Linked DNA regions of Lepisosteus oculatus. The protein of the gene in region 4 purifies or fractionates together with the protein of the main gene of each other region. This does not show direct contact. Links are inferred from orthologs where the notes say so. Each region holds a gene or a part of one and is shown on either strand. Other genes may lie near its edges.

Region 1 (7,928 bases), on a different chromosome or scaffold from region 4:
CCTTAAAATAAGATGTAGAGTATGTACAGACCTAGAGTAACTTGTAGCAGTCTTCTGTTTAAAGGTGATTTGGGCTGTTCAGTTTTCCATTCCTTAGATTAGACTCATTCACTATGACAGACTTGCTCACAGTCACTAATGTCTGGGCTAGTCTTGTGAGAATTCACTCATCAGTCACAATCTGAAGTAAAATTATACAGTGAGACCTAATAGACACTTCCTCATGAGTTGAAAACTGGCAATTCCTATCTGCACAGTAACTAATCTAGCCCTGAAACTGAACTTCAGATAGCATGAGATGAATCTGAATTTTCACAGGAATTGCATTAAACATATTTAAAGAACACACATGGTGCTAACATCTAGTTTGCAAACATGTGATGTCACATATTTGATGTACCTTACCAGAATGACTGGACTCTGCTTTTAAATATTGTTAGAATTATTTTCCGTTTTGGGATCTTTTTCTGCTACCCCAGTTGATAAACACGTTAAATTCAGAAACAATCATATCGCAAAGTTAAAGAAAGCTGATAGAACAGATAAGTTCTGTATATAGTTAACCAATAGCTGTAAATTCAGCAAGGCACAGGTTAACTCTAATTAATCTAAAAGCTCCAGATCCTTAAGGCAAAGGGGTCCCAGTTGTGAACACCATAGGCTCTCTTGCTAATTACAAAGACTCGGTGATCTTCGAGTCAGCAAATAAAGACACTCGCTGCGAAAGCAGCTTCGTTTGATCAAGGAAAGACGGTAGCTTGCTCACATACATACGACTCGGTCAGCAGCTATTATTGTCCGCAAGCACAGAAATAAGACTCGAAATAAAAAAAACAACCGCTTGAACTAGCGACTGACACAAAACAACAACACAAGCTACACTCAAAGAGCATACGGTAGGATCAGGCGTGTCAGCTTGCAGACACCGATAATTACGCTGCAGATTTGTTTTTTCTTGTAATCTGTTAAAACACGTGAACCTCATCAAGAAGACACATTAATAAAATAAAGTACAAAGTCCCAAGTAATTGCAAACTGTTAATCACACGACCACATTAGACTCCGTATGAGCATCTCCAGCCCTGTGAGCATGATGGGGTAAACAGGTTTAGCTGAGTCAACACAGATGGAACAGATCAGTAGCTCCGTAAATACCTGCAATCCCTATCTGTAGATAAAAAACAATAATCCTGAACACGTGTGAGATTTTATTCAACCTGCAACCTCTATATGCAACGCCTTAATTATAATATTCGTATAAGCAAATATCCTGAATTCGCATCCTACAAACACATTGTTTATTATTACGGCTACCATGCGATAACTTTAAACACAGCTTTCGTAATTCAGTGCGCTGCTATTTTCTGCTCTCTGGGGGATCCGGTGTGACAGTGCAGGTGAAGTCGACCCTCCCTCACTTCCTGAGCCCGAATTATAAACAGGATCACATGCTCTGCGATTCCAGCCACAAAACAGCGAAGGCGGTGAAATTATAAAAGAACGCATCACAAGCACCTTTTATAACGCACGATAAATTGATATCTTACCTCAGTTTTCGTGATTCAGCACCAAGAAGCGGCCTTACATATGGAATGAAACTTCTTTTTCACATGTTAACACATCCCGCAGAGCCCTCTGCCATCTCGCCGCATACAGACCTTCATTTTCCAGGAACAGGACGTCACGCGTTGACTACCCGTCCCACGCCGCAGGAAGGAGCACGAGCCAATGGTGAATGAGCTGCCGGCACAGAAACTTTACCGGCTCCCAGTACAGCAGCGTACTGTAGTTTTATCCAGACTGTAGTGGGTACAGTTCTTAACACGGTATATAATTCTCAATGCAGTTTTTTTCATTGTAGCGTGCTCAAAGTAACGAACAAAATACATTGTATTTATATTACAAATATTTTTTTTGTTTTTCTCAAAGTCTCTACAGTGTCACAAAGCTCAACAGAGATCACAATTTGCAGTGTCTTGATGGGTCTTGGACGTTAGATAGGGGGTTAATGTGCTGTTTGTACCACCAGGACTTGAGCCACAGTAACAACCTTGCAGGAGCCCCAGCTGGGTTTAGGGCAGTGTCTTCCAGACTAGGGAGACTTTGAGCCTTGGTACTCTCTCCCTGAGGTATTGTTCAATCAATCAATCATGGTTTATTTATTAATGCACAACAATACAGCATACAGCGGTGGTTGTCGGCAGTGAAATGCATTTTCCGCGAGCTCGCCAAGGAGAGATGGGGCAGAATTTGATAGAAGGTTACAAGAAGAATACAATAAATTATTGGAACAATTTACAAGATTACGCAAAATCTTGTAATTCTTGCAGGCATAAAAAAAATTGAGGGCGAGGAAAAAACACGGGAAAAGGCTGTTTTTAAATCTGCCGGTCTTTGCAGGTTTCAGTATCGTTTCCAGAAAGACAAAACAAATTGTGGCTTGGGCAACTGGGGTCCTTGATTATAGACCTGGCTTTCCTGAGGCATCTACAGTAACTGAGTAGATATCCTCAATGTCTGGTAGTATGCAGCCGGTGATGAACTGTGCTGATTTCACCACCCTCAGCAGTACTTTGCGATCCCAGGCAGAGCATCTCTCATACCAGGCAGTGATGCAACCAGTCAGGATACTCTCAACAGTGCATCTGTAGACGTTGGCTGGAATATGTAATGGCATGCCAAACTTCTTTAGCCTGTGGAGAAAGAATAGGCACTGCTGTGCTGTTTTGACCACAATGTTGGTGTGGTGAGACCAGGTTAAGTCCTCTGTGATGTTAACACCTGGGAACTTAAAACTGCTGACCCTCTCCACTACAGACCCGATGATGTAAATGGAGCTTGGAGCTTGGTGATAAGCCTTGACGGTACAATGGTGTTGAATGCTGTGCCGAAATCAACAAACAGCATTCTCACATACGTTCCTTTCTTGTCTAGGTGTGAGAGGGTAGTGTGTAGAGCAGTGGCGATGGCGTACTCAGTTGATCTGTTCTGTCGGTATGATAATTGCAGTAAGTCCAAGGTGTCAGGCAGTGAAGAGGTGATGTGTGCTCTGATCAGCTGCTCATTCCTCTGGCCTTCAGTCACCTTCGTAATCCAAGACTCCAGTTTCCAACATGAGAAGAAAAACCTCCTGCTCTGGGTTTTAAATGTACTCCCTCATAGTGTCCACTTGTGTCCTCTGGTTCGTGTTTCACCTATGGTTCAGATGATATCTGCTGGGTTCACTTTGTCAATGACTTTTTGGATTTGGGAATCAGGTCCCCTCATTATCTTTTCTGTTCAAGACTAAATACATCATGTTTTTTTCACCTGTCAGGGTAGGGATGCAAGAAGTTACAGTTCATTTTGACGTAGATTTAAAATAACTTTATTATAAAGGGATTCTGGAGAGTAAAGTAAATAGGAAGTCATTTAATCAAAACCTTAACTCTGAAACTCACAGCGATGACTTTCATTTTATAACATCCTGCAAACAGTGAATAATCTCCTGTGATCCTATAAATGCCATGTTAGAAAAGCACGAACTCAGAATGGATGTAAACACTGACACAGAGTACAGATTGTCCAATCAGTCGAGCTGCCCACCTTGTCAGCTAAATAAAAATATTTCAGAGCCACAAAGTAACAATGGGTGTCCTACCACCATGAAGGAAAGAAAAGTGTAACTACAGGTAAATGAGAACATGAGAGGCTTTAAAAATGTGAGGCCACTTGGCCCATCTAACTCATTTGGTAGTTAATTGGTCTGGGGATCTCATCCAGTCATTTCTTAAAGGAAGACAGGATGTCCAATTCAAAAACATGACTAGGTAGTATGTTCCCTACTCCCACAGAACTATGGGTAAAGAAGTGCATCCTGTTCTCATTTTTCTATAGGAGTTTCCCCTTGTGTCCTGTGCTTCACATTTCACGGTTCATTCTGAAGAAGTCAGCTGGGCTGAATTCTATACATTATAGCCCAGGAATGTGTCCGGTCACTCTTTTCTGGTTTGTGCTGAGTCTTCCTGGTCATCGGGAAGAAGATGCAGGAAATAAAGAGAATACATAGAATGATTTAATATGACCGTATTTAGAATACTACATCCAGGTTTAGTAATCTCTACAAAAATGAGCTTTTCCTGCATCAAAGCGTGGGGCCCTTGCAATTAACACTGCTGCCTCACATCTCTCTTTCCTGATTTTGATTCTGGGTGCCTTCTGTATGGAGTCTGCATGGTTTACCTGTGTTCACTTGGGCTTACAGTTTGTTCCCACCACCCAGACACATGCAGGCAAGGTTCTCATAGTCTCTGTCTGCTTGTGTGTCTGAGTGCCCTGTGATGGACTGCTGTCCCATTCAAGGTGTCTGTGCCCTGTGCTTCTGGGGTAGGCTCCAGGACACCATAATCCCAGGGGATAAGCAGCTTCTAATAAAGGGAGGATGGAAAGAAAGAGTTAAAAAAGAGCATCATAAACAATTCCTGCTCTAAAAGGAATACCAACCAAAGAATGATAAAAACCAAACTGAATGTCCTTTACCATTCAAGTAAAATAGAGCAGTGGAATCAGCGTGTGTGACATCCGCCGGGCTTGCAGGCGGCGCTGTTGGGGCGGTCTTGAGCGGTGCTGCACCGCTACACGCTGTTTCCAAGGCTAGTAACCAACTTTAAAGATGGCGGCGCCCGGCGTGTTCCCCGTGGGGGTGCGAGTTTATCGGATTATTAAAGGGATTTCGTGCGTGATTAGGAACCCTTGTAAACACAGCTGGTTTGGGGTCTGTCGGTACCGGACTACCGGGTCCAGACAGTTCGTAATAGAGGCAGGGAAGGAGCAGGAAGAAGAGAACCGAGTGGCGGAGATGAGACGAGGTAAGATGACAGCCGGGAAGCTTATGCAGTAGCTTTGGAGCATAATCTAACAGATTTCTCTGTTTTCTGAAATGTGTTCATTAAATAGATAGTCTGACATCGTGATATCACGATATAAAGTTACGGTGTCTCCAAACTAGGTCTGTTGTGCAGAGGGGTCATTTCAGTCTGTACAGTACCTTACCGTGACGTAACGGTGTTGCTAGGGGTCATACAGGTGTAGAAAGGTTACAGCAACATCTCTACGTTTAGAGCAGACGCTCTATTAGAAATAAAACTTTGATATAGCTCTACAAAAAGATAATTCCACATTAAATTAAATTAAAAAAATTAAATTTGTTTCTTTACTTTTATTTTGTAATTGCCAATAAGTACAAGGTAAATGTGGACATTTCAGACCGTCCACAGGACTGGGATTCACGTTTCGTACAATTCATTCGTAAATGCCCTGTGTCCGTTGTGATATTGTGGCTCGTACCACTTACCGTTGCTGTACGGTTTTCCGTGAAATTGGAGCTTGATGTTCAAAGGACAGCGTTGCTTCAGTTACTTCTTTGCCGAGTTATTCAATTTTAGCCGGAGAATAAATAGAAACATAACTTTGTGAATTTGTTGCAGTTATAACAAATCACGAAAAAGGCAGCTTTTGTACCAGGTTTTAACTTTTTAAATTTAGCAATTAATGGTGTTGTGGTGATTAATTTCTTTTGATGCCCAGTATATTGTATTAAAAACAATAACAGGATTCCAATTATACAGAAATACCTTAATATGTAATATTGTATTGTATCATATTTAATATAATATGTATGTATTCATTATATATAAATATACACTTTATCCTACAATTAGCTTTAAATGTGCTAGCACATTTAAAGCTCTTCCTTTTTTAGTGACAAAGCTTAGTTTTCTGTTCTCTTTACTGTTTTTTATAATAGTGTATAATGTATAATGTATAATATAATGTTTCTTTATTAGCCCCATACAATTTCTTGCATTAGGAATTCGCCTTTTCGCATACCCCAGGTTTTCTCCATGGAGACACAGACACACAGACAGGGAGAAGCTTATGGTCAGAGCGCAGGGTCTGCCATTGTACGGCGCCCCTAGAGCAGTTAGGGTTAAGGGCCTTGCTCAGGGGCCCAACGGAGTAGGATTCCTCTGCCGGCCGCGGGATTTGAACCGGCAACCTTCCAGTCACAGGCGCATATCCTTAGCCACAGAGCCACCGCTCCGCAAAGTGCGGAGTACAGTTTACCAAAACTGTAAAGTTTTGGTAAAATTCATATAGCTTGTCTTATACGTACTTTGCTTATCTTTAAGTCATGTTTCATCTTATAGATAGATTTCTATCTTATTTTACATCACGGAGTTGTAAAATGCTCCAGTGCTAACCTGTTTGTCTGAAAATACTGTACTTAAATCCTACGGTTCATCTACACACAGTTATAATTTGATCACAAAGCTTTTTAGAGTCATCTCTCTGTACCTCTCTCTGTGGCTCTGTGTTTCTTTTTAAGTGTATCTTACTGTGTGTGCTCCCTTGAGAGTACATTGTCTTTGAGTGTCCCTCATTCTCTGTGTGTCTCTCTGTCCAGGCCGTAAGGAACTTCTGAAGGAGTTTCCTCATCCCAAGAGTCTGCTGCACAATTTGCTGTCCCGGGCTCTGGGAATATCAGACCTCTCACAGCACATCCTGTACAGCTGCACTGAGGGACATGTCAAGGTGGGCTTTCGCTGACAGTATACACCTGTACACAAAACCACATTAATGCCTGTACAGAGTCAAATTAATTCATGTGTACAATTTACCTACAAAACAACTGAGCTCAGAATGTCTTACAGAGGGATGTGGTGACAGGGCCTGTGCCTTGTGTGTCTTACAGAGGGACGTGGTGACAGTGTGTGGATGTGTGTGTGTGTCTCTCTCTGTCTGTCTTACAGAGGGATGTGGCGACAGGGCCTGTGTGTGTATATTACAGAGGGACGTAGTGACAGGGTCTGTGTGTGTGTTTTACAGAGAGCCACGGTGACGGTGCTGTGGCCGCGCAGGGTGGAGGCAGAGGGATTTGGCTCCCGGAAGATTGACGCTGAGCGGCGAGCTGCTGCAGCTGCCTGCATGATCCTGAAGGTGAGAGACCCTGATCCCTACAATACACTCAGAGGGCTGAGTTACATGGGAGGTGGTGCTGCCCTTTTCAGTAGCTGAGGCCTATCTGAGACTGTCTGGTTACTGAGGACTGGTGACTGTCCAATATCTGCATTAGGTATAGATGGCTTCCCTATCTGCACAGTTTACTGAAATCGTTTGGGCATATTTATTAGTATGCAGTACTTTTTCAAGTAGCAAGAGCAACTCTGAAAATTAGGCCTTACTCTTAATTCAGATTTCTACTGAGATTTTACTCTGTGGCTTTGGAATGCTATATTGCAAGTGACATGAAACCAAAATGGTAAATGGAAGTGTGTTGTATGTTAAATATTTCCTGCTATTTTCTCTCAAAAACAATTCCCTCTCTCTCATTCTTTCTCCTTCCCTCCTCATTTCTCTCCCCTGCCCCTGCATTTCCTCCTCTTTTCTCTAATTCTACTCTTTTGGTCTCTGCATTTTCAGAACATGGGGGTTTTGGGCCCAGGTAACGAACTGCCACGAAGACGAGCACTGCGTATGGTGAACCCCAGACCCCCTTCTCTGTCCACCGATGAGGAGGATGGGGAAGGGGAGGAGGCAGCGCTGGATGTCACTGACTTCATGGTTGACTCCAGCCAAGAGGTGCCAAGCCCTCCAGCACCTCCCAGGTACACCCTGCCCCCTACAGGCTCCCATATTTTACTGTGTACAGCCTAGTGTCTCCCCAGCATTTGTGTGCCTTCTCTGTCTCTCACTGACTCTTTTCCACTCCTTTTCTCCATCATTCCCTGTCCAGGTTGGCCCAGGAGGACCCAGGGGTGGTGCGAGCTCTCTCCCTGTTCCCAAAACCCAAGGCCCTGCTGGCCAAGGTCATCCAGGTTGCCACCTCCTCCTCTAACGTCAGAGTGAGTCCAGTTGCTTTCGTGTGACTCCATCTACATGTCTGTGTA
Region 2 (7,159 bases), on a different chromosome or scaffold from region 4:
AGAACAATTCTGCTGCAATTCTGTCCTCTGGTAGACTTCTTTACACAAAGGTCTGTGGGAGTGTGGAACAAGCAGCCCAGCCATGGGGCTGAACCCCGAAACCTCAGCTTCTTTAGAGAACAGCCGAGTGAAATCCATGGATCAATCAACTCCTATTTAACAGGGCAGAAGGGCTTCTAGTTTGTCACCTGTCCGATGTTCTCCGACTGTCCCTCGCAGCTACGCTCGGGACACCTGTTCGGTGCTCTCTCTAGGGAGAACCGTGCCTGGCTCTACCCCTGGGCCGATGCCAACACTAGCCGGTCTGGTTTTCAAACCGAGGATCTTCCTCCCTACCTGGTGGGCTCGCAGGGGCAGCAGAATCCAGCAGGCCGGTGGCGGGACTGGGGCAGCTGGGCACAGGGGCTGGAACTGCTCCGTTGACAGAGGGCTGCAGACTGACAGGGCCTGGGCTGGGCACCGCGGCAGGTGGCACGATGGGGGACATGCCAGGCCCGGGCAGGCCGGCCGCCGTCTGCACCTTCACTTGTGCCATCCTCTGTACCTGTAAGCGGAAGACAAAGGCAGACGGACAGCTCGCACTGTTTAGGGGGTCCTCCTCAGCTCACATCACGGCCCCCTGCAGTGCGAGCTGTCCGTCTGCCCTCCAGAGACACGCGGCCGGACTCTCGCCCGCGACGACGCTCCCCGCTCACGGGATTCGCAATACGTGGAGAAGCAGGGTCTGAAATCAGCAGACCTGCTTAAGAATCTGAGGCCAGGAGGAAAACAACAGCTTTTTAGAGCTGTTCACAAGCGGTTGACAGGCACAGAGCCCTGGCACGCCCACACAGCTCCCAGCAGCTCTCTGCACACTCACTAGGGAAACCTATCCACGCTGGCCGACGGAGGAGCCCTGAGCTGTCTGCACTCCTGGTCAAAACCGAGGCGACAAGGCTATCGAGGAGCGTCATGTGATACAGGCCCTTTCACAGCGTCTGAAAGAAGCAGGGTCAAGCCTGCAGTCTAAATGTCATTCCTTCACTCCAGAGCATTGATTCACTCCTCGCCATATAAATTCAAGGTCTCTTTCTTAGTAACCAAATACATGGAAATCGGTTCAGTATCTCCCCCCAATCCTAAATATTCAACAGGTCTCTCAAACATCTCTCGAGCTGAAGGGGTCTCAACTCTGCTGTTGCTTTAAACAGCCTTGAAAGACACAGCCACTTAAATTCAAGGTACGGAACTTACATTTCTCCATGCTATGGCGAAAACAAATAGCAGTTTTAACACCTGCTCCATTTTCCAGTGTGAATAATATGCTTGTACGGTGTAAGTTCTCCTAATGAGGATAGACAAGAGCTTATAACTAATAAAGAGCTCTGTGCTGCCATTTTGCCTGTTCCTGCTGTATGGGTCACAACACAGGACCCATGCAGCAGCTACACAGATTTATGTCCTCTCCTATCTATCCTGTAAATGTCCTGTTTATCCAGTGAAGTCAGGGGAATATGCTCAGGCTGACACCCTGGCTTCTTCCTAGAAACAGCTGAAAGAGATCTTCCACTGAGGACAGGAGTCACTTCCTTACACAAAGAGTTGTGGGAGTGTGGAACAAGCAAATCAACCACATTGCTGTCGGAGATGGAGTAAATCCCGGACCCTCATTCTCTCACAGGGGCGACTGATTGAAGTTACACCTGCTGTAGCGCCAGGAGGGGGAGCTCTACACCCGGGAAAGGGCTCTGTCAGAGTACTGTGACCCCCGTTTACCGTAACTCTGCGTGCAGAAGGTATCATCGGATTTCATTCACACCACTCTCTGTGGATATTTTAAACCGGGAATACACTCAACCCGCAAAGCCAGGACACGGGACTGGACTACAACAGTGTGCAGAATTAAAAGAACAAAATAAAAAAATGCAATTATTTATTATTTAAAGTTGCACGGTAATGCAGCAGTTACACAAATCGCCGATTCGTTCTTCTGAAATGCTCCCCCTCGCAGTTCAGCTCACCCTTCGGGACTCTGGACAACAGCTACAACGTGCACTTCCCGAGCACCAGTGACAGCACATCTGGACCTGTCTGAAACCGTACGTCACCTTTCGCCACATACTGCAGTGCATGAATCCTTCTGTGCAGTTAATTTCCTAATTATATCACGTCCGCACCGAAAACATTTCCGGCCCTCAAAAAGTTGGAACTAACTTGCTTTTATTCTTTTTTTTCCCCTTCGTACCGCCAGATGATTAAAGTTTTAGTTGCAAGAATCGTAGTCACAGCTGAATACTGTATAATATTTTAACGGTATTCACAGTTGAAAGCTTTAACCTATTTGATCGATAATAAACAGAAAACGCCACAGAAAAGTTTGTTTTTCTAATTGCCCCGCTTCCAACCAAAACCCAAAGAAACGTTTTTTTTTCCTTTATTTGACCAACGTTACAGAAAAGACCTGCAATCCAACCATGCATACCGCTCACAATTATTTCCGACAACCAGGTACGAACTGTCCCTCCCCTCCTCATACACACCCCTGCAACCTTGGCTAACACAGTGCAACACACACACACACAAAACACACACGAGCTTGTTAGGAACGACATGACATTAAATGCACGAACAGGCTGAGCGCCCGGCCGTCGCTATTAAAATCCGCTTCCAGCCGCCCGGTGCCGAGCATCACGCCTCGGTCTGCACGTACCGGCTCGGCTCGACCCGGCCCGACCCCGTCCAGCCCGACTGACAGCGCCGCCCTCCCGCCACCGGGGCGCCACGGCCCCCGGGCTGCATCGCCACCGACCCGCCCGGCGCTGCCCGCGGTGCTGCCAGCTGTTGGCGAGCCCATATCGCCTCGCTGCTGCTGCTGCTGCGCGATTCAACGCAGCACTGGGAGCACGGCAGCAGGCATCATGGCTGAAAAACAGGCGAGCACCCCCGAGCCCCGCATCCGACACCGTCGGCTTCGTCATCGCCGCGGAAGGAGCTGGGACCCGGGCGGATCGCCGCAACATCACTGGCATAACGCTTACACGCTTACAAGCCCCCCGAGGCGTTTCAGCGAGGCGTGAAGTCACATTTAACGTGCGTTATTTTACCTTTTTCCCAGGGACAGAGCCCAGTTACACCTCCAACATTGGCAAACACTAAAGAGAAGAACTGACGGTCACCGGGCGAACCACTTTTATCCGTCAGCGATACCGGCGTAGGGGGTGGGGAGGGGGGCTGAACGGCTCAGGTGCGGGCGATTCCGAACCGTCCGGATTTTGTTTCGATTTCAAAAAAAGTTAGAGGATTCCGCCTTTAACGTGCAATAAGTAACGCCAGGCCAGAAAGTAGACCAACTCACACCCCCCCCCCCCCCTGAGCACTTGGAGTGGTAGAGTCTGGTTTCCTGAGCGAAATTGGACGGCGGTGCAGTTCGGGTCTTCCTGCGCACGGAGCGGCATCGCCGGTGGCAGTGATTAGCAGGGGGCAGAGCCGTTGCCAGAACTACTGTCGTGCATGAAAACACGGGCCAGGGTTAAGATCCGCCGGCACCAACGACAACAACAAAAAAAAAAAGAAGAAAGGAACAAAATGGCTTATAAGCTTTTCGGGACCTCGCCGGCTGGGCTGACACGTGTTGAGTGGTCTGCACGGACCCGTGAAAAGATCAAGCCGTGGGACCTCGACATTGTCAAGCGGAATCTGTTCGTGCAGGACCGACTGGGTGCATCCCAGAACAATACATCCCGCCACGTCAAATGATCCGAGGTCTGTTTCCATCCAGTATGAATGTTAGACACTTCCAAATTTAGGAAGGGGGCAGACTACTGAGGGCCCTGTCCTGATTTCTTGTGGGTTTACATCTCCCACCGCCGGCCACGCAGAGTCTGTAGTGTTACACAGCCTCATGAAGTAAAACAAAAAGAGGTTGATCCTGGACTCGCATTCTCGCTCACAGGGGCAACTGTTTTAAACTACACCTGCTGTACAGCCTGGTGGGGGAGCTCTACAAACTCTGTCAACATGCTGTAAATACCAGTCTGTCGTAACTCTGCGTGTATAAGAGGCCATCGGATTTCATTCACATTACTCTGCGGATATTTAAAAATGGGGTACACACTTATCCTAGCTGTGCACAATAATGAACTGAAAAGTGGGTAAAAATTATGAATTGAACGGGAATTCAATTGGAAGTTACCAGAAGGCCTTTCATAAACTTTCTCATGAACGATTTCTCTAAAGTGCACAGAATAGACGTGCATATACCTGGATTAAGATTTGCTTAATGCAAAGGAAAATGAGGGTACAGAATTTGGGTGAATACTCTTCCTCATTTATATCCATGATCTAGATTCAGATAAAGGTAGTAAACTAATCAGTTTAATAGATTACACAAATAAAGCAAGTGGATTTGCAAACCCTGCACAAACTACAAAATAATAATAGAATTCAAGTTTGGGAAAACACCTGCCAGATTCTTCATGTAGACAACTGCAGAGAATTACATACAGACGTAAATATATATTTATAAAATAGGAAATACTGATCTTGAAAATGTTTATGAAAAATGCATGACTTACATCTGCAAAAATGTGGGCAAGTAAAAAAAATCTAAAATTTTAGGATATACACAAGTCAGAAGCATAGAATTTAAATTTGTTAATCTATGTTAATGTCTGCCTCAGTGGTCATAGATAGCAAATAAGTAATTTAGAATATTGTGTTTAATTCTGTGGACTATAAGACACAGACCATTGCTACTCTAGGTGCAAAGCAATGTCCTACACGAAGACTAAAGGAGCTGAATCTCTTTAGTCTTGTACCAGGTTCCTTTGTCATATTCGCTGTTCAAGTATTCAGAATCCTCAAATTAAACGACAAATCGACAAATTAAACGCAAAGGACTTCAGCAGAATGAGCTGTGAAACACAAGCCAGAGGACACGAGCGTAAATTATGTATTTAAAATGGGGAATATGAGGCAATTCTTTGAAGAAAGAGTTGTGGGAGTCCTGGAATAAGCTACAGAATCATGTTGCTCAAACCAATACCCTGGCTTCTTTCAAGAACGAGATGGATGAATTCTCAAGTTCACTTCTAAAAACCAAATAGATTGGGTCAAATGAAAGTTCAACAGCCAAAACATTTTCATGCTACTACTCAGCCTGAAATTAACCTCTGCTATTTCCCTTGTTCATCTTCAATTTTAATGCTCATAAGCATTCAACACGATACATTCGCTTTACCATGACAAAAGTCAGCTGTATGGCTGTAAACCTAGTATGACAAGATGTTTGATATTTTGAAACAAACCGAAACACAACCTGCGTCATTCAAGTGACACTGGGAAAACCGACACAATGGAAAACACATGGAACTTAAGTGGATTCTGAACCGTACACAAACTATTGTTTATACATAGAGCTCAAGCTGCAAATAATATATTATCAGTTTTAAAGCCATTTCTGCAGGACTCTGTAACAAAATCCTGAAACGTCTGGGATTGTAATGGTTACGGAAGTTGTTACTTTAGGATAGTGATTCTCAATATTTATCAGGGATGGCCTAACAGGACTTGTCGGGAATTGAATACTTGGAATAGTGGTTATCTATAACAAATCAAGTCAACGACTGAAGTCTTTAGGGGATCCAACAAGGAATCAATAAGAAAACCACAAGGGATTCAAGTACCAGCAGTGAATGTGGAAATATCTTTGGGATAAGTGGAGTGGGTGAATTGGGAGGGGTTGTGTCATATTTTAGCAGGGCTAGAGGCTGATCTAACTAGGTGATCAAGAAGTAGCAAGAGACAGGCATCTTAAACGAGACCCATCTCCCTAAGACTAGCCAGCATTAAGCTGAGTAGGAAATAAAGTGTCTACAGGTGGCCTATTAAGTAATTTTTAGATTTAATGAATTGCTATCCAGGGGAAACGGGACCCTTAAAAATGTAGCCATGTGAAATGATTTCATGAAAGCAGCTGCACAATATGCACTGAAGATTCCTTCCTTAGCACAGGGTGAAGTGTGGCTCAGAATGCTTTTAACTACTGGCAGTCAGTAAAATGTGTTATATCCCCTTATATTTGAAGATAATTTGAATTTAATAATTACATTAACATTGAAGGATAAGCTCTTTAGCAATACATTATACAGAATTCCCAGTTGAAAGCCTGGAATCTACTGGTAGATGCGAAAAGATTTAAAAAACATTTTTCTGAGCTCTCTATAATTAGGATGAATACCTCTCAGTAAGTGTAATAAGCCAATTATCAAATCAATGACCACTGCAGGCCTCCACCAGAGGCCAGGGGTTAACACTAAAGAAAAGTTCACCGTTCCAACCCAGGCTAATGCACTATTCATTTGATTACAATCACTGCCACATGCAGCTCTTGTATTTTATTCATAATATTCTATTCCTTCAATAGTATTGGAATGAATGATTGCCACTTGAGAGGGGAATCAAGGGATTTTACTAGGAATAAAACAAGGGCAAGAATAAGTATTTAATAAAAGCTGCAAAAGGAATAGCTATAAAATCTTCTGCACATTAGATTTTGATTCAAGATTGGTCAAGATTGTGGGACACCAGGGTTACACCCCTACTCTTTTCGAGAAATGCACTGGGATTTTTAATGACTACAGAGAGTCAGGACCTCGGTTTTACGTCTCATCCAAAGGACGGCGCCTGTTTACAGTATAGTGTCCCCATCATACTGGGGAATTAGGATCCACATGGACCGCAGGGTGAGCGCCCCCTACTGGCTCCACTAACACCTCTTCCAGCAGCAGCCTTAGTTTTTCCCAGGAGGTCTCCCATCCAGGTACTGACAAGGCTCACACCTGCTGAGCTCCAGTGGGGTGCCAGTTGTGAGTTGCAGGGTGATATGGCTGCTGGCTATATATATATAACAGATTACTTCAGGGCATGCCAGGTGCATGGACAGGATAGAACTATTTTCCTTTTGGAAGATCTTGAACCTGGCCTTCTCCACCTGATGTACATTATTGTTCTTGCTTTAAGTTCACTAGATGTTTTTTTAAAAATATTTTAAAAAAGCTTAGTATATAAAAAAAAGGTTTTGGACATTGGATTCCAAGATATCACCGCACACACAGGGCAAAAAAGAACCCAGGAAAACAGAATAATTTCTGGCTTGAAGGAAATGTCATATTACATGTGA
Region 3 (7,480 bases), on a different chromosome or scaffold from region 4:
AACATGCAGAGCCCACGCACGCGCGCACACACCCCCGATCCGACACGGGTACGCTAGCTAACTCGAGACCCGAGGCCTGATATGAGGCCTACTTGAGAAGCCGGATTTCAGTTCTGCCAGGACACACCGCGTTGTCAGATTGCGCACAGAAAAAAACAGTTTTCCCTTCCATCTCCTTTGAATTACTGTACCTCATTGCGTACGACGTCTTGACAACTTGAGGGAAGCCACAAAGAGAAATCTTCGGCCGCCGACCTGTCCGCTGGCGTTGCTTCACTACCCAGGGAAACAGCGTCTCCGAACGAGATCGACAACCCAGGGAACCAATCACAGGCGCCAAACGCTTTTCAACAGCAAGAGGCGATTGGTGAGGTGGGGTAGGGGGCGGGGCTCGCAGGCAAACATCCCACATGATTGGTTCTCGTCTAATAGTCTCTGATGCACTTTCGAATGATGACCACTAGAGCGCAGCACTGCAGAACACACTCGGACAATAACAAAGCGAGTGACTTTTCACCAGTGCAAGCGTCTAGCAGAGTGGCGCAGCGGAAGCGTGCTGGGCCCATAACCCAGAGGTCGATGGATCGAAACCATCCTCTGCTAACCATTTTCATTTTTCAGATGAGCCACGTATTAATCTCATTTTACAGCATAGAAACAACACGTAATATAAAAAGCAGTCATGCACACACCTGAAATACTTTTCACACAGGTAAAAGTGTTCCTCTGTATGTTAATGTTGTGTGAAACCTGTCGTAGAAACATCTGGATTAGGCTGAGGTACATCCCTGGTCAAATTTCCCATTGGCCCTTACCAATCATGGCCTCCTAATAATCCCCCTCTCTGAACTGGCTCCATCGCTCTGCTCTCCTCCCCACTGAGAGCTGCTGTGTGGGGAGTGTTCTGGCGCGCTATGGCTGCCATCGCATCATCCAGGTGGGGCTGCACATTGGTGGTGTTGGAGGGGATCCCCATTACCTGTAAAGCGCTTTGAGTGGAGTGTCCAGAAAAGCGCTATATAAGTGTAAGCAATTATTATTATTATTATTATTATTATTATTATTATTATTATTATTATTATTATTATTATTATTATTATTATCCCGGTGGGGCTACTAACTGGTGCTGGTGGAGGGGAGTCCCCATGACCTGTGAAGCACTTTGAGCGGACTGAGAAAGGCGCCATATACGTGTAAGGATTTATTATTATTGTTGTTGTTGTCGTGTGGAAGTTCAAGTAGGGAGCTGTGTCATCAATCGTAGGCTTCTAAGGAACCAGCAAAGGTTTATTCCATGCTGAAAAGAGAAGAAAAGGAAACGTTTCGGCTGTGGAGCCTTATTATCTTCTTCTTAACATTATAATTATGTGGTATTATACGGTACGGCACCAGAGGAATCACGATGGCGAGACTCGGTAAATAAGTGCAATAAAGGAATGCAAATAATAACAATAATAATAATAATAATAATTGCTTACACTTATATAGCGCTTTTCTGGACACCTACCTCTCTTTTATTTTTCTTTGTTATTTTTCCTTGTGATTTTACTGCTGTTCTGAACGTCTTATCAGCGCTCTTGTTCCCCTCGTTGATGTAATTTTAATGAACAATCACGATTAGAATTAATGGTTAGCTACAAAACGCGCTTCACGGCGAATAGAGACATTCGCCCTGCTGGCCACACGGGGGCGCTGTGGGGGAGCCCTTCCGGGTCACTCGCTCAGACTCTCGGCGAGGGAGGCGTTTGTGTTTTTATTATTTTTAGTTGTGGAAGATTTTAAACGACTTTATTTTAGTTTTTTTTTTTCCTCCGGGGAGCAGTCTCGTTTCCCGCTCGCTGTAGAGGGGGAAATGAGCGAGTCCAGTCTGCGCTGGGACACGGGGTGGGTGAAGACTGGCTGTTTCAGGACTGATCTCTTCCCACCTGCTTGTCTTTCTCCTGCTGTGATCCTCACTATAGCAGCATCCTTCTCTGTGTCTCTGTCGGTCCACTCCTGTCTCTCTCCCTGTGTCTCTGTCAGTCCACTCCTCTCTCTCTTTCTCCCTGTGTCTCTGTCTGTCCACTCCTCTCTCTCTCTCCCTGTGTCTCTGTCCACTCCTCTCTCTCCCTGTGTCTCTGTCGATCCACTCCTGTCTCCATGTGTCTCTGTCTGTCCACTCCTCTTTCTCTCTCTCTCTCCCCCCCTGTGTCTCTGTTGGTCCACTCCTCTTTCTCTCTCTCCCCCCCCCCGTGTCTCTGTTGGTCCACTCCTCTCTCCCCCCCCCCCGTGTCTCTGTCTGTCCACTCCTCTCTCTCTCCCTCCCTGTGTCTCTGTCTGTCCACTCCTCTCTCTCTCTGTCTCTGTCTGGTTCTTGACAGCTCTTGCTCTGCGCAGGTGCTGTGACTCTGGGTGACGGTTCTGTGGGGGTCTTCTCCAGAGCCCCGCCCTGGAGAGGGATGTCTGCGTCCGAGGGGGACGTCGGGGGCCGCGTGTGTGCGTTCCTGCGGACAGGGGCGCAGGGAGGCGAGAGGGGCCACGCGGCTGGGGAGATCGCGGCGGCCCTCGGGGGCCCCCCGGTCGGGGATGTCAACCGAGCGCTGTACGAGCTGGAGAGGGGCGGCGCGGTCCGCCGGACCAGGACAGAGCCGCCGCTGTGGAGCCTGGCGGGCTCGGAACCGGAGCCACGCGCGACCACCGGGGCGTCCCCTGAACCCGGGCCCCCGGACCCTCAGAGCGTCCTGAAGGTCCTCCTGTCGGCGGGCCCCGGCGGGGGGCTGCCCGCGCACCGGATCGCCCGCGAGCTCGGCGTCTCGCGGAAGTCGGCAAACCAGCAGCTGTACTCGCTGCTGCGCGGGGGCCAGGTGGACAAGACGGAGGGGCCCCCCGTGCTGTGGAGGCTGCCCAGCCAGACACAGGGCGAGGGGGCAGAGGGGCCGCGCACCGCCGCCCCCTGCAGGCCGGGCGTGCACACTGCGGCCACGAACGGGAGGGACAGGTATGTAGACGGGGGCAGCCGGCATGAGGCCCTGAGCGCTGACTGGCTGAACTAGCGGAGAGACTGGGGGCAGACTGCTGCCATGGTTACGTGGGCGTGAGCCGTCGCTGCCGAGGCGATGGGCGGGGCTGTGGGTGTGCCAGGCAGAGAGAGGGAGAGCGGTCCTGTGTCTCTGCTCAGCACTCTCGTCTTCCTCCTCTCTCTCCTCACTCCTCCCCCCTGCCTCTCCCTCTCCTCACCCCTCCTCCCTCCCTCTCTCTCCTCACCCCTCCTCCCTCCCTCTATCCTCTCTCACTTTCCCCCTCCCTCCTCCTCACTGCCTCTCTCTCCTCACCCCTCCTCCCTCCGTCTCTCCCTCTCTCCCCCCACCCCTCCTCCCTCTCTCTCCCCACCCCTCCTCTCCTCCTCCCTCCCTCTCTCCCCCCACCCCTCCTCTCTCCCTCTCTCTCCTCACCCCTCCTCCCTCCCTCCCTCTCTCTCCCTCCCCCTCCCTCCTCCTCCTCACTGCCTCTCCCTCCTCTCTCTCCTCACCCCTCCTCCCTCCCTCTCTCTCCCTCCCCCTCCCTCCTCCTCCTCACTGCCTCTCCCTCCTCTCTCTCCTCACCCCTCCTCCCTCCCTCTCTCCCTCTCTCTCCTCCTCCCTCCCTCTCCTCCTCCCTCTCTCTCCCTCCCCACCCCTCCTCCCCCTCTCTCCCTGTCTGCCTCTTTCCCAGTGGCCCTGTGCCCCGGCCTCAGCCAGCTGGCCCGGGGGAGGCCCACGCTCTGGCAGCCAGCTTCCAGCACCTGGCCCTGGGGGAGGGGACCCGCCGCGAGCCCCAGGACGTGCTGGGGGTGCTGGAGGGCCTTCCGTCGGGGACCACTGCCCCGGCTGCGCTCATCGCCCGGAAACTGGGGGTCCCCAAAAAAACAGCCAATCAGCACCTGTACAGACTGCTGCGAGAGGGCCGTGTCCGAATGGAGCAAGGGACACCCCCAAAATGGGGTGTTCCATGAGGGGCACCTAGCTGTTGTGCTTCAAAGGGAAGAGGAATAGAAGATGAATATAAAGATCGTTGCGTTGATGTACAGAACAGGTAGAAGGCCGAGTGGTCAGTTATCATGTCATTTTCTGTTTCTGGAATTAAAACCATTCAGCTTTTTGTTTCATTTTTGACCTGTAGTGGAGAACATGGTGCCTGTGCACTGAACTGACTGCAGGCAATAAACTTCTCCAAACAGAACTGGGCTGGAAATTGTGACTGTACTGCCTGACACTCACACTGTCACACTGACACACACACTGACACACTGACACACTCACACTGTCACAATGACACACACACTGACACACTGACGCACACACACTGACACACTCACACTGCCTGACGCACTGACACGCTGACACACTCACTGCCGAGCACTCACACTCACACACACTGGCCCTGCACATCGAGGCTGCCCCCAGATGTCTGAGCCTACACCCCCCTTCACAGGCTTCTACCCCTCCTCTCCCCTCAACCAATCCGTCGCCTGTTTTCGACGTCATCGCGCCGCTCTTCCTGTTTTCCGACGGCGAGGCGGTGGAGCCCACAACACTCTGCGGAGCCTGAGCTGCACTGCCAAACCCCTTAATCCATCTGCAGGTAGGGAGCGCCTTTCTCGTTCGCCCCGGGTGGGTGTTCGCGGAGACACGCGTGGCTGGTGTCGGGGAGTCGGGCCGGGGACGGCGGCGAGCCCAGTTGGTCTGCGCCGGGAGATGTGGCCCCCAGCCGCTCACGACCCGCCTGTGGTATCGCGACATGACGTTCGGGGTGCGTGGAGTGAAGGCTGGCGAGAGTGGGCTGGAGGCGGAAGAGGCAGGGGTCCCGGGTCGCGCTGAGGGGGGGGGTCGGTCGGAGCCGATACTGGCTGTGCATCTGTGCGTGTGAGAATTAGAGGCATCGGGGGGCGTGTGATCGCGAGTCGGAGCTCTGCAGGCGCTAGGGCCGGTCCTGCCGGTGTCGCTGGATGTCGGGACATCAGTGGTTCAGCATGCACAGTAGTTTCAGCGCGCTGCTGGCGCTGCACAGGGTGGTATCGTTGCGGGGTGGTCTGGCACGGCTTGGCCCAGGACGGTATTGTACCGGCTCGGGCTGTGCAGAGCGGGCTGCAGGCGAGCACACTTCTCCTGTCCCGCAGAGCTGTCTCTGGGGACCGCAGGAGAAGGACGCCGGTGCGTCTCCCGGACGTGTTCGTCCTTGTCCGCCCCGCACACGAGTCAGGCTGTCAGCCTCTCTTAATGACAACAACAACACCAGGAATAGTAATAACATGTTGTTTATCAAGTCCCTTTCCAAGCCCACTGACGCCGTGCATAGCGATGAAGAGAGACAGAAAAACACGGTAAAAGGTCAGAGGAAAAATTAAGCCAAAACATCCAGGAGTCGAAGCAGGAGGGTCAGTCTGCAGCAGTGGGGACAGTGAGCGCAGCACAGAGCCGTTCAGGGCTGCCGAGGGACCAGATTATTCTGAGGCTGGAAGCCAGTTAGGAGACAGGCAGTGCTGCAGAGATGACCGCAGAGGCGGGCAGTGCGAGGTTTCAGTGTGTCACCTCTTGTTCTTCTGGCCATCGAACTGGACAGATCCGCCCAGACGGCCTTCCGCCACGCTCCGGACACGCCGCACAGCACTCTGGGTACCCCGCAGGGCCACCGCCACAGTCGTGCCTCCTTGATTCGGGTCATGTCCGGTCCGGAGCAGACGGGCTGTGGGGTATGGTCCTGTACACTGGGAGCTCCCTGGACCCGTCCTGCTGCCCTGCTGGTTCTCTTGGACACGCAGGACGTGTGACCCCAGATAGCAGGGTGCGGGTGTGCGGCGGGCAGGGTCGGGCCAGTCTGGGTCTCGCTGGTCAGTGTCCGGGCCTCACGCAGCTGGGCCTCCGTGGGCAGTACCAGACACCCCTGGCTCTTTCACCCACCGATTCCTCCTGCCTGATCGGACCACAAGCCAGGGGAGACAGGCAGGAACTACGGGGAAGAGCATTTAAAGCCAAGGACAGGAGGCACTGCTTTACACAAAGGGTGGTGGGGGCGTGGAACAGGCTGCTCAGCTGTGTGCTTGAAGCTGGTACCCTGGATTCTTTCCAGAAACAGCTGGTTGAGATCCTCCAATCAGGGCAGGAGGCACTACTTTACACGGAGGGTGGTGGGAGCATGGAACAGATCCTGAGATCAATTGACTACTAACGACCCAACGGGCTGGACAGGCCGAGTGGCCCCTTTGCTTTATAACCAGTCCAGTCCAGTTTAATTGTCGTGTGCACCACTGTTCTCAGTGCCTGTCCTGGTTTCCCTGTGTCCCAGTTTGTTCTGGGGGTAAAGCTGTCTGTATCTCTTAGGATCTCACCTCCCTGCAAGTCCTCCTCTCACCCTCTCGTGTTCTGACTGGAGAGGCCCGGTTCCTCTCTGAGACCCACAGTCTCTCTGCAGTGTGCTGTTCTGACTGGAGCGGCCCGGTTCCTCTCTGGGACCCACAGTCTCTCTACAGTGTGCTGTTCTGACTGGAGCGGCCCGGTTCCTCTCTGAGACCCACAGTCTCTCTGCAGTGTGCTGTTCTGACTGGAGAGGCCCGGTTCCTCTCTGAGACCCACAGTCTCTCTGCAGTGTGCTGTTCTGACTGGAGAGGCCCGGTTCCTCTCTGAGACCCACAGTCTCTCTGCAGTGTGCTGTTCTGACTGGAGAGGTCCGGTTCCTCTCTGAGACCCACAGTCTCTCTGCAGTGTGCTGTTCTGACTGGAGAGGCCCGGTTCCTCTCTGAGACCCACAGTCTCTCTGCAGTGTGCTGTTCTGACTGGAGAGGTCTGGTTCCTCTCTGAGACCCACAGTCTCTCTGCAGTGTGCTGTTCTGACTGGAGAGGCCCGGTTCCTCTCTGAGACCCACAGTCTCTCTGCAGTGTGCTGTTCTGACTGGAGAGGCCCAGTTCCTCTCTGAGACCCACAGTCTCTCTGCAGTGTGCTGTTCTGACTGGAGAGGTCTGGTTCCTCTCTGAGACCCACAGTCTCTCTGCAGTGTGCTGTTCTGACTGGAGAGGTCTGGTTCCTCTCTGAGACCCACAGTCTCTCTGCAGTGTGCTGTTCTGACTGGAGAGGCCCAGTTCCTCTCTGAGACCCACAGTCTCTCTGCAGTGTGCTGTTCTGACTGGAGCGGCCCGGTTCCTCTGTGGGTTCAGAGCCACAGCTCGGTAGCCCTGCTGCTCTCGGACCCTGACAGGGAGTCAGTGGCTTGAGTTCCTACACGTTGCCAGCTCGGCTCCGACCCGGCGTGTCAGAACAACAACAAGAAGACGGACACGTCCGGACCAGCCGGTGTCGACGCGCTGTCGGGGGGGGGTCGGTTTATTCGGTTTGTGTGGCGCGGGGCGGGCGCGCGTGTGGGGGTCGGGGTCCCCCTGGCGGCGCCGCGCGGGCACAGCGCCGGCTTCATGGAATCGGAGCGCTCGTGCGGAGAAAGGAAACCGAAACCGGAGCGAGGACAGGCGCCGAG
Region 4 (8,284 bases):
CACCACCACGTACAGTACGGTAGCTAGACACAAGTGACACTAAAATATGTCCGACTAGAAACATGACGTAAGTTGTAATATACATATAGGGATATTTATTGTTCCTTGACATAATAAACCCTTTTAGCTCCGTCGGAAAAAATACTTCCATACATTTGTCTCCTTTTCTTTGTAATATAAAGTCTTTAACTTTATAAGGTGTTGCTGAGGAACTGACTATTGTTGTACAAAGGTGCTAGCCGAGATTGAAACGGTGAGACACGGGAAGAAGAAGAACAAAAACTATACCAGCGCTTGTTTTGCAATAATTAGGAGAGGCGTTATTGTTGTGAAGTGTCTTTAGTGAGATGGCAGGCAATGAAGATGATTATATGTCGGATTCATTCCTTAATCAGATGTAAGATTTTATGTACTGTTATAATTGCATAGAAATAACCCAATTTTGATTAGACGGTGCAGGATACAATATTCTGTTCTGACTAGCAGGTACTAAAATCTAGGAAACTGCAGAAATTAAAATGATTCAGTCACCACCATTGTTAAAAATTGCAGGTGGTTAAAATAACTTGTATGGAAAATCGGAGAAAGGTTTAAATAAGTTAAACGAAAATAAGAAAATTTACAGAATGTCGTATTCAGAACTTTAAATCTTTCATAGACGGGGACTACAGATAGCATTTTTACAACCGTATACTATAATCACTAACCCTGGAAAACCCGGACACCTCTCTTGTTCACTCACTCCTGTCTGTCTGGTGTGTTTAAAAACTCTGTCCTACGTTTGGTTGTTGTGTCTCCACCCGAAGCAAGGACGTGAGGCCCGGCGTGCCTTTGCCGAGGAGGGTGAAGGAAGCGCAGAGGAAGGAGAAGCTGCACATGGAGAAGAACCTCCAGAGCCGGCAGAAGAGTTTGAAGGAGCAGGAGCAGGAGAGGAGGGAGGCGGTGCTGCAGAGCTCCATCGGGAATGAAAACAAGGGCTTTGCGCTCCTGCAGAAAATGGGCTACAAAGCAGGTCAAGGTCTCGGCAAAGAAGGTCGGTGTCTCTTTCTGCATTTAGACTAGAAAGCCCTGACCGTTTAATTGGAGATGAAGCTTGCTTTCAGCATAAGGGTAGCTTGTTTTATTTATTCCTGTCAAATTTCTCCTCATGGTCCACAAAACAATGATGTTGTTTTTGATTCTTCTCGTCTGTACATTCACGCTGTGAATATATGTGGTATATATATATATGTGGTGATAGACATCTGGTTAATGTATTGTTTGTGTTTTTAAAGGGGCTGGCAGAGTTGAACCTATCCCATTGAATATCAAAACAGGTAATAATAATACTTTGTGTTTTGTGATGTGAAAACTTTCAACTTTATTTGTGGTCATTCTTGTATGTCAGAAAAAATAAAAATTAAATAGAAGTTAAAAACAGGTATGGCTGACCATTTACAAATGTAATGGTTAATATATAATATTGGTGCTGTTTATGGTGTGAATTAAGATGAAAAAATATGGTGAAAATGAGAGAGTTTGTTTTTTAAAAAAAAGTCTCAAGCTATGTTTTGAACAGGGCATGTTAAAATCATCAAGTCATCTTCCAGTTATTCGTGGGTATTCAGTAAATGTCTGGACACATTCTGTATAATCTGTATGATTTGACCAGCTGAGGTGACCTTATTTGTCCTTATTCAAATCCTACATATTTCACTCTCGGAAGCTGCAAAGCTTTCAGGACAGCCCTGTGCTTGTTATTGATTAGATCGAGGAGGAATTGGGATGGAGGAAGTGAAAAAACGAAAAGCTGAGGAGAAGCTGGAGCACTACCGGCGAAAAGCAAACTTTAAGCAGCAAGTCGAGAAGAGAACATTGGATGACTTCAGGTAATAGAACAAAGAACAACACATATTCTGATAGTTTGTATTGCAGATTGTAATCCCTATTTGCTTTCTTGTATCTTTATCAGTTATTTTATTGTGGGTAAACTATTTATTATTTGAAGAACCATGTTGCAATCAGGCCTGATTCACCAAATGAAATAGGTTTTTAGTGCCCAGTGGTCAGTGATCTGAGGTACACAATCTGCCCCTAGTTTAGTACAGTGTAATTGGATGTTTTTAAATCCTGAGGCTTCCTCACTGCTCCGGGTCCTTTCAGAGTCAGACTGAGAACGGAAAGGGAGGAACGACAAACTGATGCAGATCTCAGGAAAAGCCAGCGTGCCTGTGAACAGCTGGACAGCCAGAAGGTTAGTGACAAAACAGTATCTCCCATCGGCTGGTTTACCATGGCTGGGCTTACAGTCTCATTACACATTTCAACTTTTTTATTTTACATAAACACTTTACATGTCTAGGGATTTAACCAGGGCATAAAGCCTAGCATTAATTCTCTTTTGGGTGGCTGTTGGTGTTGGATCAAGGCCTGGCTCAGGAGCAGTTATGTTTTCTAGTTGTTTTTCTGAGGAAACGTCACATGGATCGATGTGCTCTTTCTCCCATGTCCTCAGGGGATCCATGCCCCCAGGGAGGACTGGTACTGGCCAGTGTCGGGGACTGAGGAGCCGGGGGAGGAGGAAGAAACTGAGCAGGAAGAAGATGAGGGAGAGGAATTAACAGTCAGTAATACCCTTTCACTTTCAACCTTGCTGCATAGGCCTTAAAATTTGTCAAGAAAACCAAGGGAAACAAAATACTGTTTTCTCTCTGCCTGTGCGTGTAGATAACCATTTGATTTGCCACGAAGCATTTCATCTCCTTACTTGAATATCAAACCTTTTAAGATTGTTGCCAGCTGCAATTAGACAGCTATAAGATCTGCAGAGTCTCATGAAATCAGACAGAAATCTCAGTTGTTTGTACCAAAGGGATGTTTACCCTGGGGATCCCCATTACCTGTAAAGTGCTTTTAGTGGAGTGTCCAGAAAAGTGCTATGTAAGTGTAAGGATTATTATTATTCTTTGCTTTCAACTATTTGATTAAGAAAGAGTATTACTTTTTCTTTTTCTCAGCCTTTGGAAAAATTACAGATTCTGACATCATATCTGAGGGGAGTGCACTTTTACTGCATATGGTGTGGGACATCGTACGATGGTAAGACTAAGAAATGCATTGATTACTGCAGGATGTACTACAATAAAGTTCTAAGGCCTATCTTAAATATTTAGCTGATTGTACCTGTGCTTCAGTACTGTACTGCTATAGCTATACATCTCTGCTATAATCCATGGCCTCGGAACAATTATTTTTTTTAAATAACTGTTACTTAGATGAGTATTTTTTCTAACTTCATAGGCTACAAACTACGAAACATTGTAATATTCCTTTCTCCTTTAGTAGGTTATAGACTGAACATACCTGAATTCTCTAGGTCAGTGTTTCCCAAGTGGCATACCATTAGGAAAACTTTGCATTATTCAGGGCTTTGACTGTCACTATGACTCATATTCATGTTTGTCTAAGCTGCTCTGTAAAAAAAAGTAAAGAACTAGGCTGCAGTAATGATTGTTGTAACTAAATATGATCATTTAATTTACACCTACTAATCTACACCTCAGCAATAGTATATTTTATTTTTACTCTCTAAAAACTATGCAGACCTTTTGAGGCTCTGAAGAGATCTTAAAAACTGCTTTGTGGTGGACTTCTCTATTTTGTCCCATTTTAAAAAATTCTGCTGGAACTATTATTTCGCAGATATTAAGTTTCCAAGGTAACGACTGTTCCAGTGACGGTAATGAATGCCCCCGTCACTCCTTGAACACGGAAGAAACGTCAATGTTGTTTTTGGAAAAAAATGTTTCAAAAGTAAAATTTTATATATAGTATGTTCATTTGAGAATGTTTGCTTTGACATGCAAGCAAAATTGTTCAAACTTTTCATGGTAGGAGGTGGATAGGTTTTTGCCCAACATTTTTGTTGACGCAAGTATGCATGCTGTAGGCTGGGAATTGACTCAAGTTATGTTGCCCTGCAGATGAAGAAGACTTGACAGCAAACTGCCCTGGGGACTCGTCTGCAGCCCATGACTGATCAGGCCAGAAGAGGGGCTGAACAGGAAACTGAAACTTTTCAGATGATGCCCTTCTTTCACAAGAAGAAGGAGGAGGAGGCCCTTCTGGGAACAATAATATAGACGGAACAGGCCTAGATGTGGGATAAAGCTGATCCTACGTACACCTTGGATGTGTGATTAAGTAGACGTGATCTGATGTCCACAATCACAAAACAGCAGACAAAAGTTTAAGGTTTACATATAAAGGAGATAAAGGTTTACAATTCACCGTGATAGATCCAATTAGAGCTGAAATACTAACAGATATGTTGACATTGTAAAATATGCATTAGTTGTGTTGTTGTGGTCATGAAATGGAATACGAATAATAACATGCAATTTTATTTACAATTTTTTGCAAATTGTGCAATTCTATGTATAAACATCATAAACATTTATGATTTAAACATATAAACAAATAGAACATCATTGCTTGCATCTAAAATATGAACTATTAATAATGTGTTTAAAATGCAATGGTGTATTTGTTTTTAAGTGTATTCATAAAAGTGGTTAGTACACATTGCATCTGTGTTGTTTAGTTGTATATTTTATGTACTGTCCTTTTTGTAAAATGAAAATAAAATATTTTCATGTGTTGCAGTAGCTTACCTTCAATAAAGCATTTGGTCGAGTCTTGCAATAGGATGTAATACAGTCACATTTGCACTACTTAAAGTTGAAACATTGTTGGTAATGCTTTGGTCATTTGTATCACATCCATGAAGTTCAATGCAATGTCCAATGTTAAGGTAATTCATTGTTTAATCAATAGTATATTCCTTTTTTTGTGTTTTAGGTGTTAAAATATATGGGTAACCTAAACTAAGAGTGACAGTAGTTATAAAGAAAAGACCAGAAATCTAAAAAAGCATATCTGAATATAAAAAATCTTTTTATGTTGTTTTGCAGTGTGCTGGGATAGAAACATTTTCAAAGGTTAAAAGACACGTTCTTGTTTGCAATTTGAACGACATACTTGTTCAGTTACCCGGAATGTAATGCATTTCCTAAAATGTTAAATTACAAAGAACACGTATTGGTAACTGAAGTTAGCACGCACAAATCATTCGATTTTTTCCATCCTCATAAATTGAAACCACGTAATATCATCATTTTAGAAAGAAAAATCCTTCTTAAAATGTAACTTAACCCCAGGCCAGCTCCCGTCCTGCAGTGTAGTATCATATTTTAGCAGGCTGGCGGAGCTGATTGGCTGCGCAGTACCGGTAGTTGTTCTAGCTGTGACGTTTGGAGTGGGAAATGAAACTAAACTTTGCTGCTGAGCTGCAAGGGGAGAGAGGGTGAAGTGAAATTTAAAGTCAGTCGTGCACTAACCTGCAGGTACGGCAAGCACAACATAGGTTTATGATCTGTAAGTATACTGATATTTATTTGCGAGATTAGAGTCAACGTCGGGTTTTAATCTTCAGCTTCGTTTTGTTAGGAGTTGGTTCAAGAACGGGGGATTGCAGCAGCGTACACGAACGTTATTTTTATCGGCAACTGTAGTACTGATACTGGTTTGATTTAACACTTAGTGCGCGTTCTCCAGCTATGTTCCTGCAATCACATTGTAACAATCAGAATTATTTCTTAATTATTTGTATGTTTTTTTCTTTTCCATAAACAATTGCTACGGGCACACTGTTAATTGCTTTGTGTTCTTCATTTTTATTATAGTCAAGACTCTTCTATGACATAGGCAGCATTGTTTACAAGTAGGACTTCTCGTGTGAAGGAATCTCGTTTTATGTATTTTTTGTATAAATGAGTTATCTGTATCGGTTAATGTTATTGATGTTAATGATGGTGAAGGTGACTAAACGTCATTTGTTCTGTTTGCAGTGAATCAAGCTTAATATGGCTTTCAAGTTACTGTTATGATATTGGAGTAAGAGGTCTGCATTAAACGTCCAAATAGTCGTCTGTTTTCCAAAGCAAGAGAACAGTATCATAAGAGAATATTTATATGACCACTCGAATTATGCTACTTTTTGTGAGGAAAGAAAAGATATGTGTTTAGCATATGCTACATTTTGGCATCAGTGTTTTGTTGTTATGATGTTGCATTATTAAGAAACTTTAATTATAAGATGATACAGTTTTTTTAAAAACATGTTTCTCTCAAAACCAAGATGAGCTGTCATTAATAAAAACAGTCAAGAGTACAGAATTACAGTAGGACATTAGGTAAAGTATTTAATTGTCTTTCAGGTATTTTTTACAATGTCTCAAATGAATTATGTGGGAAGACTGAATGAATATCGACAAAAACATAATTTATCCCTGCAATATGTGGAGGTTTCCGCAGAAGGGCCAGACCATGTTAGACAGTAAGTTTTATCCTAAAGTTTGATCAAGTCTTATACTGTAGGTTCAAGATTTTAAGCAGCTAGACAATTTAGAGTGGATTGTGCTTATTTCACTGAAAAGCTGAAAGGGGCAAAATGACAACACCTCCTAACTCATTCATTCCACGTTCAAAATCATCATGTAGCACTTTATGGATCTGAAAATGTATATTGAGTAACAGTACAGTGATAAATGTTATACTGCAATCACAATAGCATTGTACAAAGTTATATTTATCATAAATTGAATTCCATTTTTTTCATTTCTAAGTATTCCTTTAAAATCCAAATTTGACAATGATATTCTGCAAGACAGTGTTTTGGAACTATAGTTTAGAACCTTAATGGAATTATATTCTGGAACTATATAGATGCTTCAGAAGATTTCCTGTTTCCATGGGGAATTAAAGGAGGTAACACATTTAGTAGGAACATACAACATGGTTAAGACTACTTGTAAAGTGGCCACTCTTGCAGGAAGACGATGTAAGCACACTACAGGAGGCATCTTGTGAATGTAATTCCTGCCACCTGGAGGATTTACAATATGTTACACTCTGTCACCTTAGATAGGGGCACCTGCTAAGCTCACAACAGCAATGTGTTGCATTCAAGTCAACCATGACTGGCCGGCCTTCACCAGCTGTCTGCAGCTGCACAGGAAGAGTGGTGGACAGTCCCACAGGACTCTGTCCAAAGGCCAATCAGACCTATGCATCAGTTGTGCTGGGATTGTGTTCATTTTTCAGAGGAGGCTGAGTTACTAGAGTAACTTTATTTTGTAACATTCTCACTTTGAATTTCAGAAAATGTTTTGGATTTCTGTTCTGTGATTCTGCCTGACAGTTATATTCCATACTTAAAATATTTGATTAAAACCCGTTAAGAGTTATTTTTTTGCACTCAGTACGTTTGCATTATTGTGTTATACAGATTCACAATGAAAGTGGTGCTGGACAGTCAGGCTTATCCTGATGGCGTTGGAATGTCTAAGAGGGAGGCGAAGCAAAATGCCGCAAAAAATGCTTTGGAAAAGCTATGGGTCGAAGTTTCTCAGCAGAATGACCCTGTGAGTATCAGCGTGGGCGGTTTTCTCTTACTCTGTGCTTTCCTTGACCATGCTTACAGTATGTATACTCAAATAAAATATACCATCTGTCCATTTTAAATAATAGCTTAGACCAATTCAAGGTTGTGGTGATCCACTGCCTAATCTGGCAGACAATAGACACAAGGCAGCATGCACTTTGAATGGTACACCCGTTCATTGTAGAGTGTACATACAGTTTAGAGATGGCAATTAACCTAGATATCCACCTAGTAACAGAGCAGGTCTTTGGATTTTGGGAGCAAATTGGAGCACCCACATGGTCTTGGAGAGATCATGTGAACTACACCTGGGAGGCACCCCCAGCAGGACCCAAGAACTGTGAGGAAGTAACATTAAACTGCAAGACCCCCTTAAGTAAGACCAAACAATACGTAAACTTTGTCTGAATAGAGGTAGTATGTTCTCCCTGTGTTTATGTGGGTTTCCTCCAGGTGTTCCAGTTTCCTTCCACAGTCCAAAAACAAACTGGTGGCTTTATTGACTTCTGAGAAAATTGGCCCTGATGTGAGTATGTGTGTCTGTCTGTCCTGCGATGGACTGATGTCCTGTCCAAGGTTGTCTGTCACCTTGTGCCTGTTGCTTGCCAGGAATAGTATCCAGCTCCCCCACCACTCTGAACTGGAAGTAGCAGTTAGAAAATGGATGGATGGATAATTGATTCCCAAGAGATGCGGAAAACGTTTACTGAGAACCAGCATTAGGGTCTGAATTTAATTAGGAAAAAAAACCTATTGTGAAATTTTAGAACCTGTGAATGAATATAAAATCTGCTTCAATGC

The links.
Region 1: the proteins of eif2ak2 (region 4) and dhx30 purify together in Homo sapiens (affinity purification with mass spectrometry; 3 studies listed by BioGRID and IntAct, with this or other methods). This does not show direct contact. The link is inferred for Lepisosteus oculatus from reciprocal best matches to the Homo sapiens genes EIF2AK2 and DHX30.
Region 2: the proteins of eif2ak2 (region 4) and stau2 purify together in Homo sapiens (affinity purification with mass spectrometry; 3 studies listed by BioGRID and IntAct, with this or other methods). This does not show direct contact. The link is inferred for Lepisosteus oculatus from reciprocal best matches to the Homo sapiens genes EIF2AK2 and STAU2.
Region 3: the proteins of eif2ak2 (region 4) and adar purify together in Homo sapiens (affinity purification with mass spectrometry; 3 studies listed by BioGRID and IntAct, with this or other methods). This does not show direct contact. The link is inferred for Lepisosteus oculatus from reciprocal best matches to the Homo sapiens genes EIF2AK2 and ADAR.

The regions. Positions count from the first base shown.
Region 1 is NC_090701.1:26,019,322-26,027,249, forward strand, and holds the start of dhx30 (ATP-dependent RNA helicase DHX30), read left to right. Parts: upstream 1-4,645; 5' UTR 4,646-4,651; coding exon 4,652-4,847; intron 4,848-6,445; coding exon 6,446-6,573; intron 6,574-6,867; coding exon 6,868-6,978; intron 6,979-7,461; coding exon 7,462-7,646; intron 7,647-7,774; coding exon 7,775-7,883; intron 7,884-7,928.
Region 2 is NC_090701.1:53,322,676-53,329,834, forward strand, and holds the start of stau2 (double-stranded RNA-binding protein Staufen homolog 2), read right to left. Parts: upstream 3,270-7,159; 5' UTR 3,084-3,269; intron 545-3,083; 5' UTR 536-544; coding exon 337-535; intron 1-336. UniProt on the Homo sapiens protein: RNA-binding protein required for the microtubule-dependent transport of neuronal RNA from the cell body to the dendrite.
Region 3 is NC_090722.1:6,554,492-6,561,971, forward strand, and holds the start of adar (double-stranded RNA-specific adenosine deaminase), read left to right. Parts: upstream 1-4,361; 5' UTR 4,362-4,421; coding exon 4,422-4,599; intron 4,600-7,383; exon of another isoform or gene 7,384-7,480. Other genes in the region: ilf2 (interleukin enhancer-binding factor 2 homolog), read right to left, coding at 192-196; uncharacterized protein, read left to right, coding at 2,439-2,977, 3,691-3,970. UniProt on the Homo sapiens protein: Catalyzes the hydrolytic deamination of adenosine to inosine in double-stranded RNA (dsRNA) referred to as A-to-I RNA editing.
Region 4 is NC_090712.1:6,726,844-6,735,127, reverse strand, and holds the start of eif2ak2 (interferon-induced, double-stranded RNA-activated protein kinase), read left to right. Parts: upstream 1-5,271; 5' UTR 5,272-5,415; intron 5,416-6,257; 5' UTR 6,258-6,269; coding exon 6,270-6,376; intron 6,377-7,327; coding exon 7,328-7,463; intron 7,464-8,284. Other genes in the region: gpatch11 (G patch domain-containing protein 11), read left to right, coding at 348-397, 807-1,033, 1,275-1,316, 1,748-1,868, 2,143-2,233, 2,495-2,602, 2,997-3,078, 3,963-4,018.